Cricetulus griseus: one gene and its partner. The protein of the gene in region 1 interacts with the protein of each later gene in a biochemical or structural test. Links are inferred from orthologs where the notes say so. Each region holds a gene or a part of one and is shown in the gene's direction. Other genes may lie near its edges.

The links. The genes of interacting proteins can lie anywhere in the genome.
Region 2: the proteins of Itgb2 (region 1) and Icam1 form a complex in vitro, tested with the Homo sapiens proteins (4 studies listed by BioGRID). The link is inferred for Cricetulus griseus from reciprocal best matches to the Homo sapiens genes ITGB2 and ICAM1.

Annotation. Positions count from the first base shown.
Region 1 is NW_023276806.1:261,264,832-261,275,037, reverse strand, and holds the start of Itgb2 (integrin beta-2), read left to right. Parts: upstream 1-5,123; coding exon 5,124-5,181; intron 5,182-5,527; coding exon 5,528-5,616; intron 5,617-8,797; coding exon 8,798-8,978; intron 8,979-10,206.
Region 2 is NC_048597.1:133,881,605-133,891,576, forward strand, and holds the start of Icam1 (intercellular adhesion molecule 1 precursor), read left to right. Parts: upstream 1-3,351; 5' UTR 3,352-3,510; coding exon 3,511-3,577; intron 3,578-6,422; coding exon 6,423-6,683; intron 6,684-9,972. UniProt on the Homo sapiens protein: ICAM proteins are ligands for the leukocyte adhesion protein LFA-1 (integrin alpha-L/beta-2).

The DNA of each region.
Region 1 (10,206 bases):
AGAAACACCAATAGCTTTTGGGATCTCAAGAAGCAATTTCACATAGTGCGTCCACCAGAGCTTTTAGGGTGTCACCGTGCACAATTACTACATAAAGTTGGAAAATATAGACAGAATATGGAGGAAACTGAGGGCACCTCTGTGATGCTACCCACGGGACATTTTGGTCCACGGCTTTTCCTTTTTCCCGTCCGTTCACTTTCACCATGAGAATGAGTTACCCCAGCTGCTATCCATACTACAATGCTGCTGCAGGCAGATTCCACAGGGCGGGAGCTGTGTGTATTAAAATGGTAAAGCCATCTTCTGTTGGAAATCTACTCCAGAAATGCCCGTGTTTTGATGGGTATCCCATGCCCCTCTGCATCTGTGTTCTGCCTGTTGAATGGCCTATTTGTGGTCCATGCTCCTCGGAGATGCTCACCTACCCTTAATTTCTCAGGTTCTGTTAGAGGGGAAACCTCACAGCAGGAGGCCTCTCCTGTTCTAACATGCCTGCAAGGATGTTTGTAGTCTCCCTCTGACTTGGGACTTTTTATTGCTCTATCAATCTATCTATCTATCTATCTATCTATCTATCTATCTATCTATCTATCTTTTGAGATAGGGTCTCACTATGTAGCTCTGGCTGTCCTGGAATTCACTGTGTAGATCAGGGTGGTCTCAAACTTGCAGAGATCCACCTATTCTGCCTCCTCAATGCTGGAATTAAATGTTTGTTCCACTATGCCTAGCTTATTGTTGTGTTCTTTGTTTTGTTTTGTTTTTGTTTTTTGAGACAGGGTTTCTCTGTGGCTTTGGAGCCTATCCTGGAACTAGCTCTTGTAGACCAGGCTGGTCTCGAACTCACAGAGATCCGCCTGCCTCTGCCTCCCAGGTGCTGGGATTTAAGGCATGTGCCACCAATGCCCAGCTATTGTTGTGTTCTTAAACAGCTTTAGAAGTGAGTCCCACTTAATCCTAGTTGGTCAGTCGCTGCAGCTTTTGGTATCTGTGGACTCCATCATTAATAAGCACCATGCAACCATGTTTCTCAGTCACTTATGAAATTTCCTTTGCAGGTTCTAGGAGGGTTTCTGAGAGTCTATAGGACCAGTATCCTCCATACTCACCCCTCCCTCCGACCTTCTGGCCTCTTGTTCCAAGTCTGCCTGGAGCTCTAGGACTCCAGATGCAGTATTCCAGAACCCAGCTACTCCATCTGTTCCTGTGTGCCCCTTGTCCTAATTAGCTTTGTCACTTTTACAAAGCATTAAGTCGATTGAGGAACTTCCTGGATCAGATTCTCCTGTGGGTATGTTTGCGGGGAGATGTCTGGATGATTAATCTATGTAGGAGAGCCCACACCACCGTGGGACAGCACCATTCTCAGTGCACGTGGTCCTGGGCTACAGAGAAAGCCAGCTAAGCATAAGCCTGTAGGAGTGGGAGCCTCTAACCAGGGTTCCTCCATCGTTTCTACTTCAAGTTTCTGCTTGAGTTCCTGCCCTAACTTCCCTCAGTGATGACTGTAACCTATAAGCTGAAAGAAACTCTTTCCTCCCCTAACTTGCCTGTGGTCAGTGTTTTATCACAGCAACAAAAAGGGAACTAGAACATCCCTTGTTCCCTGTGTTTGCCCGGAGCTCTGTGTCCTCAAATCAGCTGTTCCCTCTGTTTCTACAAGCCCCTTGTCCTCTGCCCGGAGCTCCTGGATCCCAGAACCCTGTTCCCGCACCCTGAGCCCATCTGCCCCCAGTTCTTTTGTGAGTGTGTAAGGGCAGAAGTGACTCCATCTTGACACTGGACTTCAGTGAAAAAGTTCAAGGCTGGGCTATGATCATCTCTGATGGTCACGTGCCTTTATTTTTGTTTTCCTCAGAAAAGGGCAGTCCTAGGACTCCATCTATTCTCCCTGCAAACTACCCTGGGGCTCTGTCAGTGTTCAACTGCTTGATTCCCAGTGTTGCTCTCAGTCAGTCAGGTACCTCATGTGCTCTGACTAGGGACAGGAAGCCACCCACCACCAGCCTCTTATAAGACTTGCCCCCTCAGCTGGCTTTTTTTTTACATCACCACCCACTCTTTGGGGGGGGGGGCGGGAGGCGGTCAGGGTTTCATTCACCTCCAGTTGTCCTTGAACTCACTATGTAGCTGAGGATGACTTTGAACTCCTGGTCGTCTCCCCTTCACCTCTCAAGCGCTGGGATTACAGTTATAGGTCACCACACCCTGCCCAAATTGCCTTTTGTTTCTTGTTTCCTCCTTTGCCATGGGCATTTCATTTCTCATGGGGACATGTATGAGGTAGATACTTTCCTGTCACAGAACCCAGGTGCAAACACCATGGCCTCATCTACCCCTTCGTGTGAAGCCATAGTCCCCAAGGGAATCTTCAGGGAAGGCCAACAACTCAGGCCTCACAATGTGAAGGCCTGCGGATAGCCACCACTTCCTGGGTTGGGCTAGCACTTGCTGAGCAGAGGGTGGAGATAGAGGGTGGCTGTGATGAAGAGTTCTAATAGCTACTGGGGCAGGGCTTTCTCAGGAGGCCTCTGCGTAAGGTCTCACCTCATGACTTGGTGAAGGTACCTGGAAGACCTAAGGAGCTCCAGTGAAGCCAGGAGCTAGAGGAGACCTTCTCAGGGCTGTTCAGTAACCATGGGGTGGGAGTGTGGGGCTTCTACCTCAGGCCCTCTTATTCACTCTTGTTCTGGCTGGCAGCTGCAGTGACTAGGGGCCTCCCCACAGACTGAGAAGAGGGACCAGCTGTGCTAGGCACTAAGAGATCATACTGAGATGCAAACGCTCAAACCTGTCTTTCCAAGGGCAAGCGCCACCTGACCTGGGCCAACTGATGGCTCTTCAGTGGCAAGGTCCTCAGAAGGAGGGCTAGGAGATGAGAAGATAAAGACAGGGTCAGGAGGTCTTGCACAAGCTGATGACTTAGGCTCACACCATTGTCATTGTTTGGTGTCTTCTGTGGGGCATAGGGGGCCCAGGTGGAGATGGCTCCTCTCAAGTGCTCTCTGTCCTGAGAGCTTTGCACCTGGAACAAAGAACAGGCGGTGGCTACACTGGCCACCACCCACTTCCTGTGGTCAAGGTCAGGGCAGGGCAGTGTGGTCTGTGGGTTGGTCTTATAACCAAGTTGAACACACACTCTCTCTCTCTCTCTCTCTCTCTCTCTCTCTCTCTATCTCTCTATCTCTATCTCTCTCTATCTCTGTGTGCATGCCCGTCAACACACTCATAGGTATGAGACACAACCCTGTATCCTGCTCCTGCTTGGAGCTCCAGTTTCCCCAGCAAGTTTGAATACTGACTATAGTGGCTGTTTGGGGGCGACATCTGTGATGGCCTCTCTCTGAAGTACCATACCTGTGCCCTGGAAGGACTCTCCCCACTCTCTACCCACAACAGCCATGGCCTCAGAAAGGGGGCTTTCCTGAGGCTGACTGGATTGCAGTGTCAGCATGCAGATCTCAGTCACACGTGCCAGGCCCCAGGTTAGTTAAGGGAGTTGGTGGACACACGTGTGCCACCCCTAGCAGTGTTCAAGGAACTCTAGGATGAGATGCAGAAGCAGGACCAAATGCAGCTGCCTCAGCTTGGGCTAGGTGCCCTGGGACCGGGAGACAGAGATATTCAGAGCTGGGATGGCTCCCATGTAGCTTCAAGTCCCCTCTCTGCCTTGCTACAGTGTGCTAAACTCAGAAAGCGAGGGAGGAAGTCTTGCTTTTCCTTAAGTGGGGCTTCATTTAACAATTCTGGGCCCTGAGGATAGTCTTTCTGAGGTCATAGGCCACTTTTAAAAGGGTCAGAAATGGGGCTACATGAGGGCTGTATCCACAGGGTCCCCAACTGGGTGACTCTACAGGGTGTCATGACTATCATAGACCTCAGCCTGGATTCTGGGCTTCAGGGAGCAATGGTGATGTCAAGGACCACAGGCTGGTTGGTATACCCAGTACTCTGAGGCCATACAAGGCACTAAGAGCCACCTTCAGAGCACTGATCTGGCAACCCTGTCCCCACCCTCACTCGGTTTCCTCAGTGGCTTCAGCCTTGCCCTGTAGAGGAGCTGGTCATGGCTTGGGGAGGCATGCTGATTTTTGTTTCTGACAACCCAGGCCCTGGTCATGTATCTCTTCCTGCCTGCCTGCCACAGATCCTCATGTCTTAGGAACTCAGACCCAGGGGCCACACCACTCAGAACATCATAGGTCCCAGGGGCTGAGTCCTGACCTCTCTGGGTCCTTGCAGGGGAAGGAGGATACCAGTAAAGATCTAGGAGAATGGCAGTCCTGCCGGTGCCCAGCCATGAGGAAGGAAGTCACACCCCAGGCCTCTCAGCATGCCTAGTCCCCAGCTGGGCCCCTTATTAGTTCAAGGCCCTCAGTGCCATGGATTATAAGCAGGACAGGATGCTGTGGTTCTGGAAACATGGCAACAGGCAGCCAGCAGTAGGGTAGTCAAAGCCATGGATGAGCTCTGTGAAGCCGATTCTCCCCTGCCCGGGACAGGGATTCCAACAAGGTCCCCAGCTCTATCTCCTCCTGGGCAAGAATAGAATCAAGGCTCCAAGGAGTATTTGAGACAGAGAGAGTCTCTGTGAGCCAGCTCAGCCCTGTTCCACAAGTGCTCCAAGTTCATGGCTCTACCTGGGCCCAATTCTGCTATCTGGGTCAACCAGATCTGGGGTCCAAGCTCGTTAAGGACTTGGAGTACACAGGTGTTACAGCTGTGCCCCGACAGTGTGAGCCACTGCACTTGTGGGGTGGGGAGTGGGGCTGCCTGTATGGCATGCATCTCTCTCCGTCTCTCTGTCTCTATCTCTGTCTCGCTCTCTTTTCATCTCCTCCCTCCCTCCCCCCACCCGTGTGTGTGTGTGTGTGTGTGTGTGTGTGTGCGCGTGCACATGCATGCATGAATGCATGCATGCCTATGGTAGTCCCACAGAGGCTGGCTGCCTGCTCTTCTAGGGACCTGGCCACCTGAGCCAGTTACCCTGTGGACTTTGAGTGATACCTGTGCTGGCCCTGCCTGGTTTTCATGCCCTGTGGCAGCAGGACAGGAGGCCAGCAAGAAGGAAGTCTTCAGGTGATCAGCCAGAAGTCACCCAGCCCTTCTCTCCACAGGACATGCTGGGCTGGCACTCACTGCTGCTCGCTCTAGCTGGACTGCTCTACCTGGGATCAGGTGAGTTCTATGATGTTGTCCCTACACATGACATTCCCACCCAGCAGGCCCACCTCATGTCCTCTTGGGCATAAGTTCCCAGATGGCTGAGGAAGGACCATCCTCTGGGAGTCAGTCTCAGGCATGGATGTCTTTGATCCCCATATAACAGGAGGCGGAGTCTGACTTCCTCAGGGGTGCTGCTCTGAATCCCACTGGGACGACTCAGAGCCCTTCCCAGATCACATAAGGCTGTAGACACTAGCCTACACCCTCCCCAGAGCCTCGTCTACCCCCCCTCCCCACTCACTCTTGAGAGCAGCCAGAGTGGGTGCAGGGTCCTCATCCAGCCTGTCTGTCTCCTCAGTCATGTCCCAGGAGTGCACCAAGTACAAAGTCAGCAACTGTCAGGACTGTGTCCAGTCGGGGCCTGGATGCGCATGGTGCCAGAAGCTGGTAAGAGCTGCGTGGGTCGCCTGACAGTTTTTAAGCCCCCTTCCCCTCTTCCTGGGTAGGGACCTCTACTTCTCTGAAGCCAGGGACACCAGGACAATCTCCTTAGGACATAGCAGGAATGACTCAGTAGAGAAGTTTCGAGGAGGGAGATGGATGTACCATGGTAACCCAGGCTGACTCCAGGTATGTAGGGAGGGACAGTCCAGCTTTGCAGTGTGAATCAAGAACAGGAGGAGGTAAAGGCCCACAGGCAGGCATGGAGGGGACTTCTCATCCTGTACCCCAGTCCCTCAGTACAGCTGGCCACCTCTTATAGAGGGCTCCTCCTGTGGGTCTAAGCCTTTATCGTATGCTCCTCCTGGGGTCCCCAAGCTGCTGACCCCACAGGGAAACACCCACATTACTCTTTCTTCTCAGTCGCCTGATCCTTTCTGGTGGAAACTACACCAACAGCCTCTGTCCCTTCTATCTTCATAGGTCTTTGAGAATAAGGTATTCGCTTATAAAAAACAAAACAAAACAAAAACACACTGAGTGTGTTTTTTATAAAATGTACTGTCGTAGTTACTTTTCTGTTACTGTCATAAAAACACCCTGATAAGAGCAACTTAAGGAAGGAAGGGTTATTTTGGCTCACGGTTAGAGATGACAGTCTGTCATGGTGGGGAAGTCACAGCAGCGGGGGTGTGGGTGTGGGGCAGCTAGTCACATCACATCCACAGACAGGATGCAGGGTGATGAATGTCCATGTTCGACTCCCTTCCTCATTTCTCTTCAGTCCGGGACCCAAACCCATGGGACCGTGCCACCTGCACTGGGCAGGTCTTCCCATGTCAAAGAACCTAGTCAACACAGTCCCTCCCAGTGTGCCTGGAGCCTTGCCTGTTGGGAGAGTCCAGAGCCTGTCAAGCTGATAGTCAACACGAACCATGCCATATGTGTATGTTCATATTTGATCCTGTTATCAAACTCAGCAAATGTAATATTGGCCCAATGGGCAGACCGTATTTGCATCTTGCCAAATTTTCACATTTTTCCATACTGTCATAATCTGAGGACACACGGTGTGCCATTTTACTACCCTTATATCCAGAACATTCCCAGCTTTGTCGTTTTAGGATGAGTAGAGCCATCAGTGTAGAATGTCCCTTGGCGCCTCCAACCCAGCATGTCCTCTGATGTACACTAGGGTCACCAGACAGTGAGTTATTCTTGGTGCCCTACATGAGGCACACATGGTGCCCTCACTGGTGTGCCCTATGTCCCTGCACTAATGATGTTTGCTAAGGTGACACCTGCCAGGTTTCTCCTCACATCCTGTGTCCCCCACAGTGAGTGACAGGCTCGTCTGTGAGGTGCTGTCAGGTTGCTAGCATTCTGTCCCCACTAAACTAAGTCTGTGACCTTGCAATTTGACTACTGGCAACTCAGGCAAATTTCCATTACCACTGTAGTGACTGTAAAATGGTTCTCTCTCTCTCTCTCTCTCTCTCTCTCTCTCTCTCTCTCTCTCAGCCCCCACCCCATTGATGGATCTGCAGATCTTTATTCTCTTCATAGTTTATGACTATTATTTTTCCAATTTGATGTTCAACTGGTCCATGTCAGGCCATTGGGCCCCTCTAAGATGCTCTGGGTATCATTCATATGACATTTTTTGTTGTCATTTTGTCTTGTTCTGAGAACTTTCATACTCTGGGATGACCAGCTGTGCTAACTGTGCTCTGGCCTTCCCCTGGCCAAGAGTTAGAGTTAGAGAAGGCTCCTATGCTTTCATGACAAGTGGGCTCCCAGCATTCTCTGCGACTTTCCCCATCTTCTCCATCCCACAAGGTTTTTGACTTCTATTGCCATCGATCATGTCCGCTACAGGCAAAGCTCCAGAGCAGAGGCCTGGTGTTGTAACTTCTATCCTGTGACTGAGAGCTGTGGTGCAAGCATGGACAAGCCATTCTTAGATGGACTAGCTTTTCTCTCTTCCTCTTGAGCCATTTTACTCACCTGAAATGAACAGTCAGGCCGCTTGTTCTACATGGATTACACGCTTGCTTCTCTTATCTCTATTCCGGCTGATCGTCTGTTTCTTGAGGACTTAAGATGTGGCTCTGAAAGCAAACACAGAGCAGAGACACTCGGCAGGCGGTGTCTACTGCACTTCTGAGTTGTTCGTCTGGCTTTACTGTCTGTGGGAAAACAGGCAGCCCGGTGCTTTTTGGTACTTTGCAGGTGAACCAGTCCTCCTTTGGATGCAACAGGTTCCAGTTCAGGACCAAGAATGACTTCCATGTCAAATCCAGGGGTTTTTTGAAGAGACGTGGTAGTCAAGATGAAGGTCCCCCAGGCTCTCCACTCCCCTCACCAACTGGTTTCCCTATGAACTGGGAGAAACTTGTGAAGATGGAGTTTCTTTCTAACCTGGCCCACAGCTGCTTTGCCCCAAATAAGCACATGGACGCAATATTAATTATAAAACTGTAAGCTGATGGCTAGGGCTTCTTACTGGCTAGCTCTCTCTTAATTATTAACCCATAACTACTAATCTATATATTTCTACATGGCTTTATCTTACCAGAGAACACCTGGAACATCCTATCTTTCTGATCTCTACATGGCATCCCTTTGTGGCGCCTCTCTCTCCAGCAATCTCCTTGTCTCCTAGCCCTCTTATCTTCTTGCCTTTACTGGCCAACCAGTGTTTTATTCATCAACCAATAAGAGAAACATATATACAAAAGAACATCCCCCATCAAACTTGACCCCAAGCTCTGCCATGAGTCTCAGCAAGGGTTGTCACATTGGTTCAAAGAGAGCACCTGCATTCCCTTGGGAGACAGAAGCTCCCAGCAAAGGTCCTGCTGAGGAAGGACCAGAGGGTTCTGGCCAGCACTTGAGCTTGAGGCTGCTGATCAAGCTAGAGATAGAGAACCTCAAGTCTTTGCTGATGGAGTCAGTGCCCGAAAGATAGAGAAAAGTCTATAGTCTATGCTTCTGGTGACCTGGAGCTCTCAGGGAAACTTGGAGCTGTCTGGGTGACCTAGGCTGTCTAGGAGTCTGGTTTTCCCTAGAGGATGACCCCATCCCACTGGGACAGCTAACTGAAGTTTCAAGGGCAGGTAAGAAGGAAATGGGGCTGGACCCCACTGTCTCAGCACTGTGCCTTCTGCCCGACCCCTCCTCCTAGAACTTCACTGGACCAGGAGAGCCTGACTCCCTCCGCTGTGACACACGGGCTCAGCTGCTGCAGAAGGGTTGTCCAGCCGATGACATAATGGAACCCAGGAGCCTTGCTGAACCTCAGTTTGACCAACCGGGGGAACGGAAGCAGTTATCTCCACAAAAAGTGACTCTTTACTTGCGACCAGGTAGGCTTAGAGTTGGCTGTCCAGGGCATCTAGGAGCTCAGCCTGTGTGTCCTGTCAGGGCAGACAGATGGGGCAGTCTCTGGGTTGGACAGTGAACTTGACTCACAGAAGTCTGAGCTCCAGGACCAGTGAAAGTGTTCCATGGGTGAAAGTGCTTTGCCACCAAACCTGGTTACCTGAGTTCAATACCCTAGGGCCCAAAGGGTGAAAAGAGAAAACCAAAAGCTCCAAGCAGTTATCTGATCTCCTTATGCACATGGTGTGTGCAAGCCAATCCTACAGTTACAAATAACTGTAATTTTTAAAACAGTTACTTCAAAGTCTGAACTCCGCCCTGGGTGGATTCCCTCAACCCCACTGTCTGCACTAGGTGTCTGGACTCTCTCTCTCTCTCTCTCTCTCTCTCTCTCTCTCTCTCTCTCTCTCTCTTTTGTTTTTCAAGACAGGGTTTCTCTGTGTAGCTTTTGGAGCCTATCCTGGCACTCGCTCTGTAGACCAGGCTAGCCTTGAACTCACAGAGATCCGCCTGCCTCTGCCTCCGGAGTGCTGGGATTAAAGGCATGTGCCACCAACGCCTGGATGGATCCTCTCTTAGCAGTTGGTCTGTGCCTTGTTGAAATGGGGAAGCAAACCATTTAGAAATCACCATTCATTTCCACTCTCAGAAGGCTTAGCTACCCTTGGCAGAGTGAGAGCCCTGACAAGTCCTGTAGCCAGGGATGCATAACTTTTCAAACCAGGCTTGCCACAGGCGTGCTCGATTGGGTCGGACACAGTGAAGTGAGCATAGCTGGGACAGCAGACGTGCTGTGGGCAGACTCGATGTAGCTGTAGCCACAGTTCCAAGGGGGACCAGCAGATAACCCTACAAAGCCCCTGAGTGGGGAGAGGAGACTCAGGACGATCATCCTGGTTTCATTTCTGTTGCTGTGGTGAAATACCCTGATTAAAAGCAGCTTAGTGGGAAAAAGGGTTGTTTTTAGCTCACAATTTCAGGTTACAGTTTATTATTTCAGGGAAGTCCAGGCAGCAGGAACTTGAAGCAACCGCTCACATCCCATCCCCAGTCAAAAGCAAAGAGAAATGACTGCATGCTTAGTGTTTGACTTACTTCCTCTACTTTTAACCAGACCAGGGCCCCAAATCGGGGAATTTTGCACCCACTCTCATACTGGGTCTTCTTACACCAATGAAGGTAGTCTGACATAGTTCCTCACAGATATGCCCA
Region 2 (9,972 bases), on another chromosome or scaffold:
CCAGTGGACTACCCAAGCAGGGTCTCATATATACCAGGTTAGCCTTTTTTTTTTTTTTTTTTTTTTCTTTTTTGAGACAGGTTTTCTCTGTGTAGCCTTGGCTGTCCTGGAACTCACTTGGTAGATCAGGCTGGCCTTGAAGTCATAGAAATCTGCCTGCCTCTGCCTCCTGAGTGCTGGGAGTAAAAGCATGCACCACCAACCCCCAGCTTTCTTTTTCTTTGTTTTTTTTTTCAAAATGAGTGCTCTGTATGCATTGCATCTGCTTGCCAGAAGAGGGCATCAGACCACACTGTAAATAGTTGTGAACCACCATGTTCACCATGCAGGGAATTGAACTCAAGAACTCTGGAAGAGCAGTCAGTGCTCTTAACCACCGAGTCTTCTCTCTCCATCTTTCCAGGCCCTCTTTTAATTAAAAAACAAAAACAAAAACAAAACAACTTTGTGTGGGACTGGAGAGATGGCTCAGGAGTTAAGAGCACTGACTGTTCTTCCAGAGATTCTGAGTTCAATTCCCAGCACCCACATGGTGGCTCACAACCATCTGTATGTAATGTGATCTGGTGCCCTCTTCTGGCATGCACTGTATACATGATAAATAAATTTTTAAAAAAATAAAATAAAAAAACTTTGTGTGTGTGCCACATGCATGTAGGTGTCTGTGGAAGCCAGAAGACAGCATGGGATCTGCTGGAGCTTGGATTACAAGCAATTGTGAGCCTCCAAAAGTACTGGGAGCCAAACCTAGTTCCTCTGGAAGAGAAGCAAGTGCTCCTGACCACTGGGTGGTCTCTCCACCCTGCTAATGTTTGGTCACCACACCAATTCTTTTTAACCATCAAAAACTATCCCTGGCTTTAGCTTTCCACTTTACCACTCGTCACAAAATAATACTCCACTTTTCTTTTTCTTTTTTAAATCTGGGCGGCTCCTACGTGTAGCCCAGGCTGGCCTTCAACATGTAGCAGAGGATAACCCTGAATTCCTGATCCTCCGTCCTCCATGTGGGCTTTGTGCTTGTTTATTTATTTTTGTTTTTCTTTTTCTTTCTTTCTGTTTTTTTTTTTTTTTTTTTTTTTTTTTTGTGTGTGTGTGTGTGTGTGTGTGTGTTTTGAAACATGGTTTCTTTGTGTAGCCCTGGCTGTCCTGGAACTAGCTCCATAGACCAGACTGGCCTCCCTGCCTCTGGGACTAAAGGTCTGTGCCTCCACACTTGGCCAGGGCTTTGTGCTTGTTAAACAGGCACTCTATGCTGTTGAGAAACCCTGTCTCAAAAAACCAACCCTCCCCCCCCAAAAAAAAAACCAGGTACCCTACTAACTAGCTACAGCCTCAGAAAGATTATTTTTAAATTATTTTGTTAAATTTATTTTATATGTGATTGCTTTGCCTGCATGTGTACCACATGTATGCTTGCTGCTTGACATGGTGCTGGTAACTGAACTTGGATCATCAACTGCTAAGGTATCTCGAGTGTGTGTGTGTGTGTGTGTGTGTGTGTGTGTGTGTGTGTGTGTGTCTGTGGTGCCCAGGGAGGCCAAAAGATAAAGAACTTCAGGTGGATCCCTAGTACTTGAGTTACAGATTGCTGTGAGCTGCCATATGGGTGATGGGAATTGAACCAGAGCACTTGCTTTTAACTGATAAACCATCTCTCAGCCTCCTTGATGGTTTTTGAAGACATCTGGTGTGGGGCTGGCGTGCACTCGCTGTGTAGCCCAGGCTGACCCCCACTTCCTGAGTACCGCTCTCACAGGCTGCCGAGCTTTTCTGTGGCAGTAGAGTTGTGTTTTGCGTGTCACTGCTCAGCTGAGCATCCCAGCAGGATTTTCCAATATTCAGCTCTGGGAACGATGGTGCCCTGCACAAAGTAGGCACCCACTTAAACAACTTTGCTCTTAGGGCTGCAAATGGGAACTTAGGGCGCTGGAGGCTCCCCACACATGAAGTAGGGACCAAAAGACTCAGTGACACCCTAAAAAGATCCACTCCGAGGGTTTTCCCAGACCCTCCTGTGGTCACCCTGCAACTCTGCCAAAGTCGTCCCGGGGCAGGGACTGATTGTCTCCTCCCCGACCCCCCAAGATCAAAAGATCCCCGTGGAAATTCCTTAGGAATGTCCAGGCTGGGGGCGTGGGTTGTGGAGTGTCCCAGGAGCTGCTGCTACCGGAGGAAGAGAGAAGGCTTCTCAACCTCTCCCTTCCGCATCTGCAGCACGACCTCCTGGCCCAGCACCGGTCTCCACGGCAACAGTGCGGGCGTCCCACAACAGGAAGCCTCGGGTGCCAAACCCCCTGGGTCAGAAGATCGGTGTTCGAGATCTCTCTCCGCCCGACCTTGGAGTTCAGGGTCTGCCTCAGTTTCCCTGAAGAAAGCAAAGGTTAAAATAACCAAGCCTGGTGAAGCACGAGGCAGGATCTGGAGTTCAAGGTCATCCCTAGCTACACAATGTTTGAGGCCAGCCTGGGCTACTTGATACCCAGTCTCCAGAAAAGAGAAGGAGTGGGGGTGAGATGGGAGGGGAAGAGGGAGAGACAGAAAGGAGGGGGTATGGGGGTGGGAGGGAGAGAGCGGGGGAGGAAGGAGGGGGACTCAAGGCGGGGGAGGGGCGGGGCGGGGGGGGGTGGGGGTGGGGGGCTAGGCCCCTCTCTGAGAGGTGCCTCTCTTGAGTTGCCCTCAGTTTCTTATCCAGCCTGAGAAAGGGTGGCGCAGGGCTCCACAGGGCCAGACAGACCTCTTCCTTCCTTCTTGGGGAGCTGTCAAGACGCCCCAGGGGTCAGAGTAGAAAGGGGAAGCGAGGCCGCGGGGGCGGGAGCACTCGTGGGTGGGAGGAGGGACGAAGGGACTGCATGACGCCTCTCTGGCAGGGCTCGCCCACGCCGGATCTGTCCGGGCCTGCTTGGACCGCTGCTCCAAAAATCTCTGGTGTCAACTGGGTGGGGTGCGAGCCTTGGGAGAGGGGCCCCTCTGAGCGGATGGCGCCCCGAATGATTCCAGGGAATTGTTGTGCTTGGCTAAGGCGTGTCGTGGGGGGCAAAGAGGCTTGTGGGAGCTGGGGTTCGAGGCTACCCCGCGAGGCGACGGCAGTCCCGAGGGCACAGGGCACCAGGCACCGGTTAACCAATTACCCTGCAGGCGTGACGTGACTCCAGAGGTCCTGAGCCCTCTGCTGAACTCACCCACCCTCTCCCGCACGCAGCCCGCCCCCATTGGCCATTGCTTCAGTCTGGAAATTCCTGGGCCACGGTGCCCAGCGAGGCAGGCCACCCCTCTAGGCCAGGGCACGATCTCCTTGCGGAAATACCGAAGTCCGCGTTCCGGAGGGGAAGGCGCTAGGTTTCCGGGAAAGCGGCCCCGCCAGCACCGCCCCTCGGCCCCCCGCGGCCGGCCGGCAACTATAAAGTCAGACGCGCTGCGCGCCGCCCGCGTCCCGTCCCGTCCGCGCCCGGTGCTCCGTGCCCCTTGCCCCGTGGGTGCTCGTGCTCCCTGCGCTCTGCTGGCCTTGCTATGGCTCCCACCCGCGCCAGGCCCACGCCACCCCTGCTCCTCGCCCTGGTGGCCGTTGTGATTCCAGGTGAGTCCGAGGTGGGGTCGCTTTTAGGGACAAGTTTCCGGACCCCAGGTGGACCCAGGCACGGGCCAGAGGAGCAGAGGATAGTTCTTAGGGGTCTGTTAACGGGAAGTGGGAGTGGAAACGAAGGGTTGAAAACCATCAGCCCCGAGTAGTTCAAATCCCGCGGATGGGCTGCAGAACACTGTCTGCCTGTCTGCCTGCCTGCCGCTCCCTCTCCCTCCCTTTCCCTCCCTCCCTCTCCCCTTCTCCCTCTCTCCCTTTCTCCCCCTCTCTTCCTCCCTCCCTCTCCATCTCTCTCTCCCTTCCTCCCTCTCTCTCCCCCCTCTCCTTCTCTCCCTCTCTCTCTCCCCCTTTCTCCCTCTCTTCCCTTCCCTTTTTGCCTGTTTTGAGGCACTTAGCCTAGACTGGACTTGAACTCTCATCCTCATGGTCCCCGCCCTTCTCCCTTCAGCCTGGGATCACCCGCTTGAGACACACTACTCCTCTATAAACGTATTCGTTTAGAACCTGGGACCCTGGCCTGTTCAATGGGAACAGTGGTCACAGCCATTGTCATGGGGCAGTCAGAATGTGCGGGGGGGGGGGGCGCAGATAGTAGGGGGACCAGCCCCTACCAAGCTGAGTCTTGAGGTCCGATTCCCTCCCCACAGATAGCCTGTTCCTCATCCTCACCCCTGGGGGAAGTCCAGGCTGCTCTGCACTGGGGAATTCCAGGGCTGGTGTGCTCAGGAGTCAGAGGCTGAGAAGTGAAGTGAGGTGGCTGAGGACTCCCCACAGGAGCCCTCCCTTGCTTGCGGGCAGCACCTGCTGTCCTCCAATGAGAGGAAGATTCCGAACTTGCTCAGCTGCTCATAGGAGGCTTCTGACCTCCTAGCTAGATCATGGGCCAGAGGAGCAGAGGAGTGCTGAGATTAAAAGTGTGCACCACCACACCTGGCATTAGGGACACATTTAAAAAAATAATTTATTCTTATTTTGAGTGCCTTGATGTTGTGCCTGCATGTATGTCTGTGTGAGGGTGTCAGATCTTGGAGTTACAGACAGTTGTTAGCTGCCATGTGGGTGCTGGGAATTGAACCCAGGTGCTCCTAGCCATTGAGCCATCTCTCCAGCCCTAGGGACACATTTGGGATGTGACCCACCCCTACCCACAGGATACTCTCATTTCCTTTCTTTCCTCTCTCCCACCGTCCACTCTGCCACCCTGCCTCAGGGCCTTTGCACTCTCTGTTCTTTCTGTCCGTCATTGGCTTCTTTTTTCCCTGTTCAGGCAATGTCTTCTTATCCTTCAGATCTCTGCTCAAATCTGTCTGTCACCAAAAAACTATATGCTATACCCTACTCTGTTTTGGTTTTACCAAAACTCTTATTACCAAACCACTATTAAAGCTGGGCAGTGGCACATGCCTTTGATTCCAGCACTCCAGAGGCAGAGGCAGAGGATCTCTGTGAGTGTGAGGTCAGCCTGGTCTACACAGGGAGTTCCAGGACAACCAGGGCTGCATAATGAGACCCTGTCAGAAAAAAAACAAACAGCTGGGCGTTGATGGTGCACACCTTAAATCCCAGCATTTGGGAGGCAGAGGCAGGTGGATCTCTGTGAGTTTGAGACCAGCCTGGTCTACAAGAGCAAGTTCCAGGACAGACTCCAAAGCCACAGAGAAACCCTGTCTGGAAAAACCAAAAAAGAAGAAAAACCAAAGCAAAAACAAAGTAACGACAAAAACCCAACAGCTAGTATCTGGGGCTGGCCTTAGTGGGCAGAGCCTTTGCTTAGCAGGTGTGGAACCCTGGGTCCCATCCCTAGCACTGTGTTAAAACTAAAACTGAGTGTGGTAGTGTGTCTGGCTGGAGAGTGGCTCAACAGTTAAGCAGTACCAGGGTTCTGATCCCAGGACCACATGGTAGCTCACAACGCCTATAACTCCAGTTCCCGAGGTTAAGATAGCCTTCTGATCTCTTCTGGCACCTGCATGCCTGCCTCTCTCTCTCTCTCTCTCTCTCTCTCTCTCTCTCTCTCTCTCTCTCTCTCTCTCTCTCTCTGCATGCATCATGCAATTCTCTCTGGCACCTGCATGCATGTCTCTCTCTCACACACACATACACACACACCCCACACACTCACACACACACTAAAATATGTGTTTATTTATTGGTTTTTCAAGACAGGGTTTCTCAGTGTAACAGTTCTGGCTGTCCTGGAACTCCATTTGTAGACCAGGATGGCCTTGAACTCACAGAGATCTGCCTGCCTCTGCCTTTCAAGTCCTGGGATTAAAGGCATACACCACCACCTTCCAGCAATAATATTTTTGTCTTGTTTTGTTTTTCCAGACAGGGTTTCTCTGTGGCTTTAGAGGCTGTCCTGGAACTTGCTGTGTAGACCAGGCTGGCCTCGAACTCAAAGAGATCCACCTGCCTCTGCCTCCCGAGTGCTGGGATTAAAGGCGTGCACCACCAACACTGGGCAATACATATTTTTTTAAAAGAAAGAAAAACACAGTACTTGGTGTTTGGGGAGGGCAATACTCTCAAACTCTATATCTAGTCCAGGATAATGTTCAACTCCTGATCCTCCTGCCTCTACCTCCTGAGTGTTGGAATGATAGATGTATGCCGCTATACTCATTTTATGGGGTGCTGAGGATGAAACTTGGGCTTCAGGCATGCTAGGCAGGTGCTCTGTCCACTATGCCCAGCACCCCCTCAACCCCTCTTGTGTACTCAAGCATGGCTGCCTCCTGCATCGAGAGCAACATCCTGCCTAGCTCAAGGCTGCGTGCCCAGCACCTAGCTCTGAAGTCACATGGCTGAACCGGCCTCTTATCTCTCCTTTCTGTTCCAGGGCCTGGTAGTGCTCAAGTATCCATCCACCCCAAAGAAGCCTTCCTGCCTCGGGGTGCATCCATGCAGGTGAACTGCTCTTCCTCCTGCAGCGAGAACCTCAGCCTGGGCTTGGAGACTCAGTGGCCCAAAGTAGAGCTGGATCATGGACACAATTGGAAGCTGTTTGAACTGAGTGACATTGGAGACGACAGCAAGCCACTGTGCTTTGAGAACTGTGGCCCTATCCAGTCCTCAGCCTCTGCCACCATTGTCTTGTACTGTAAGTGACAGGGCCAAGGGTGGGGTATAGGGAGACCCAAGGGGATATGGCAGCTGGGACCAGGAGCCAGCCTTGGAAAGTCCCACTGTCACTTAGAGATCTCTTTAAACTTTTGTCAGGAGGATGTACCACAGGAATTTAGAACATTCCAGAATGCCACCATCTGATGCCTGGATTGTTCTGTTTTGTTTACCCTTTTAACTGTACTCTATTTATTATTGCTTATTTCTAATGTTTTGGGTTTAAAAATAATGTATTTAAGCCAGGCAGTGGTGGTTGGTATAAAGGCTTTTAATTCCAGCACCCAGGAGGCAGATGCAGGCAGATCTCTGTGAAATCAAGGCCAGCCCGGTCTACAACGTAAGTTCCAGAATAGCCAGGGCTACACAGAGAAACCCTGTCTCAAAAAACAAAAGAAATGTATTTGTTATTTTATACAAATTGGTGTTTTGCCTTTATGTATGTCTGTGTTAGGGTGTCAGTGCCCAGGAACTTGAGTTACAGACAGTTGTGAGCTACCATGTGGTGCTGGGAATAGGACAGGTCCTCTGGAAGAGCAGTCAGTGTTCTTAACTGCTGAGCCTTCTCTCCAGCCACAGTCTTTTGTTTTTGTTGTTGTTTGTTTGCTTATTTGTTTTAAGACAGGGTCACACATAACTGAGAATGGCTTTGAACTGATCCACTTGCTGGGGGCTGGGATTATAGGTTTATACCCCTAGCTATTTTGCACAGTGTTGGGGATTGAACACAGGACTTAGTAGATTCAAGGCAAGGACTCTGCCCCTGAATTGTAGCCCACCCTTTGCCACATTTTTAAACAAGAGGCCCTAGATCTGATCCTTTTATTTATTCATTTATTTATTTCCTAAGACAGGGTTTCTCTGTGTAGCTCTGGAGCCTGTCCTGGAACTCACTCTGTAGACCAGGCTGGCCTTGAACTCACAGAGATCAGCCTGCCTCTGCCTCCTGAATGCTGGGATTAAAGGCCTGTGCCACCACTGTCCAGTGCACTTTGTAAGTTTTAGTTTATTTTTTAAAATTCTGCTGGGCAAGGTGGCACATGCCTGTAATCCTAGCTCCTGAAAGGCAGAGGCAGGAGGATCTTTGTGAGTTGAAGTCCAGCCTAGTCTACATAGTGAGTTCCAGACCATCCAGGCTACACAGTGAGACTGTGTGTGTATGCACAGGTGCCAAGGTCAGAGGACAACTTGCAGGGATCGTTTCTCTCCTTACACCAGGTAGCTCCCAGAGAACTGGAACTCAGGTTATCACAGTTGGTGGCAGTGCCTTCATTCTCTGAACCCTCTTGCCTGCCCTGCTGTTAATTTATTTTTAGATTTTTTTTTAATTTGTGTGTATGAACATTTAGGGCTGCATGTATGAATGTACCGACATGTGGAGGACAGAAAAATGAATTAAAACCTCAGGAACTGGAGTTACAGGTGGTTGTGAGACATCTCGCAGGTGCTGGGAACCAAACCGCAGTCCTCTACAGTAAGCAGCTGTCTCTTCAACCCCCATATTTATTTATTTATTTTGCTTTTTGAGACAGTTTCTTTATGTTTATTTTATTTTTTTTAAGGTTAACTGGCTTTGACACCGAGCAGTGGTGGCACACATCTTTAATCCCAGCACTTGGGCGGTAGAGGCAGGTGGATCTTTCTGAGTTCAAGGCCAACCTGGTCTACAAGAGATAGTTCCAGGACAGGCTCCAAAGCTACACAGGGAAACCCTGTCTCGTAAAACAAAACAAAACAAAAAACTGGCTTTGACATCTTGTACTTATTTTTTTAGTCTTTTTAAAATTTATTTATTTATTTTTATCTTATGTGCATTGGTGTTTTATCTGCATGTGTGTGTGAGGATATTGGATCTCCTAGAACTGTTTTTTTGTTTGTTTGTTTGTTTTGTTGAGACAGGGTTTCTCTGTGTAGCTTTGGATGGAGTCTTTCCTGGAACTTGCTCTTGTAGACCAGGCTGGTCTCAAACTCACAGAGATCCATCTGCCACTGCCTCCCGAGTGCTGGGAAGAAAGGCATGCACCACCACCGCTCGGCTAGAACTGGGGTTACAGACAGTTGTGAGCTGCTATGTGGGTGCTGGGAATTGAACCTGGATCCTCTGGAAGAGCAGTCAGTGCTCTTAACCACTAAGCCCATTTCTGCAAGCATCCAGCATCTTGCTCTTCATGTATCTGCCTTCCAAGCACCAAGACCATAGGTGTGTGCTTCCAAGCCTGGGTTGAACATCAGTTCTTTTTTATTTTTCTTTCTTTTTATTTTATTTATTTATTTATTTATTTATTTATTTATTTATTTATTTGGTTTTTCGAGACAGGGTTTCTCTGTGGCTTTGGAAGCTCACTCTTGTAGACCAGGCTGTGTCTGCCTCCCGAGTGCTGGGATGAAAGGTGTGTGCCACCACTGCCCTGCACATCAGTTCTTTACAAACGATATATATGTGTCCTGTGACCTCCACAGTCTTGGAAATCCTTGATGCATGGACCTTTCCCACAGGGAATGGGTCAGGCTCTAGGGTTGTTCTGTCCCTTTGGGTTGAGGATAGAGTCATCAGGGCTTGGCACTTGGTCAGGTATGCATTTTGCCACTGAGGTCTACCCCCAATCTGCAGTGCAGCTGTATTTAAAGGTCAAACATTTACAAACCACTCAAAGATAGTGGACCAGAGAGATGGCAAGATAAAGTTTGGTTTGGACATACCGTGGAATGGTATTCGACTGTATAAAAGCAAGCAGAAGCAGAAGCACTGAGGAATGTTATACCTCAGAAGGAAAAGGGTGCTGAGGAGAATTGCTGTGACAGTGTCCTGTATTCAGGAGCAGTGTGGGTAGAATGAGGGAGGCTACATTTGCACATGGAACCCAGGGCTTCACCTGCTGGGCTGGCACTAACCACCAACCCACCCACCTCCCGGCTTCTCTGGGTTTTCTAGGCAGGGGTTCTTCCCTGGAACTATGCCTCTACCCCCTAACTGGGGAATTCCAGGCAGAGGCTCTACCCAGCTGGCTTTAGCTTTGGAATTGGCACCGAGGAACTGGGTAGCCATTGGGCACTTGGCATCTTGGTTTATTTGTTCACTGTGTCGGCTCTCCTCAGATTGTTCTGATACAGGGAAGCCTAATGGCAGCCAATGTTACTGGTGTCAGGATAAAAGCCTTATGTGGTTTGGAGGATGTGGGCTTATGTGCCACTGCTGCCCTGGAGGGAGGGAAGTCCCCAGGCATTCCTGGTGGCCTTAGGAAGTGCCTCTGAAGACCTTTTCCAGGGTA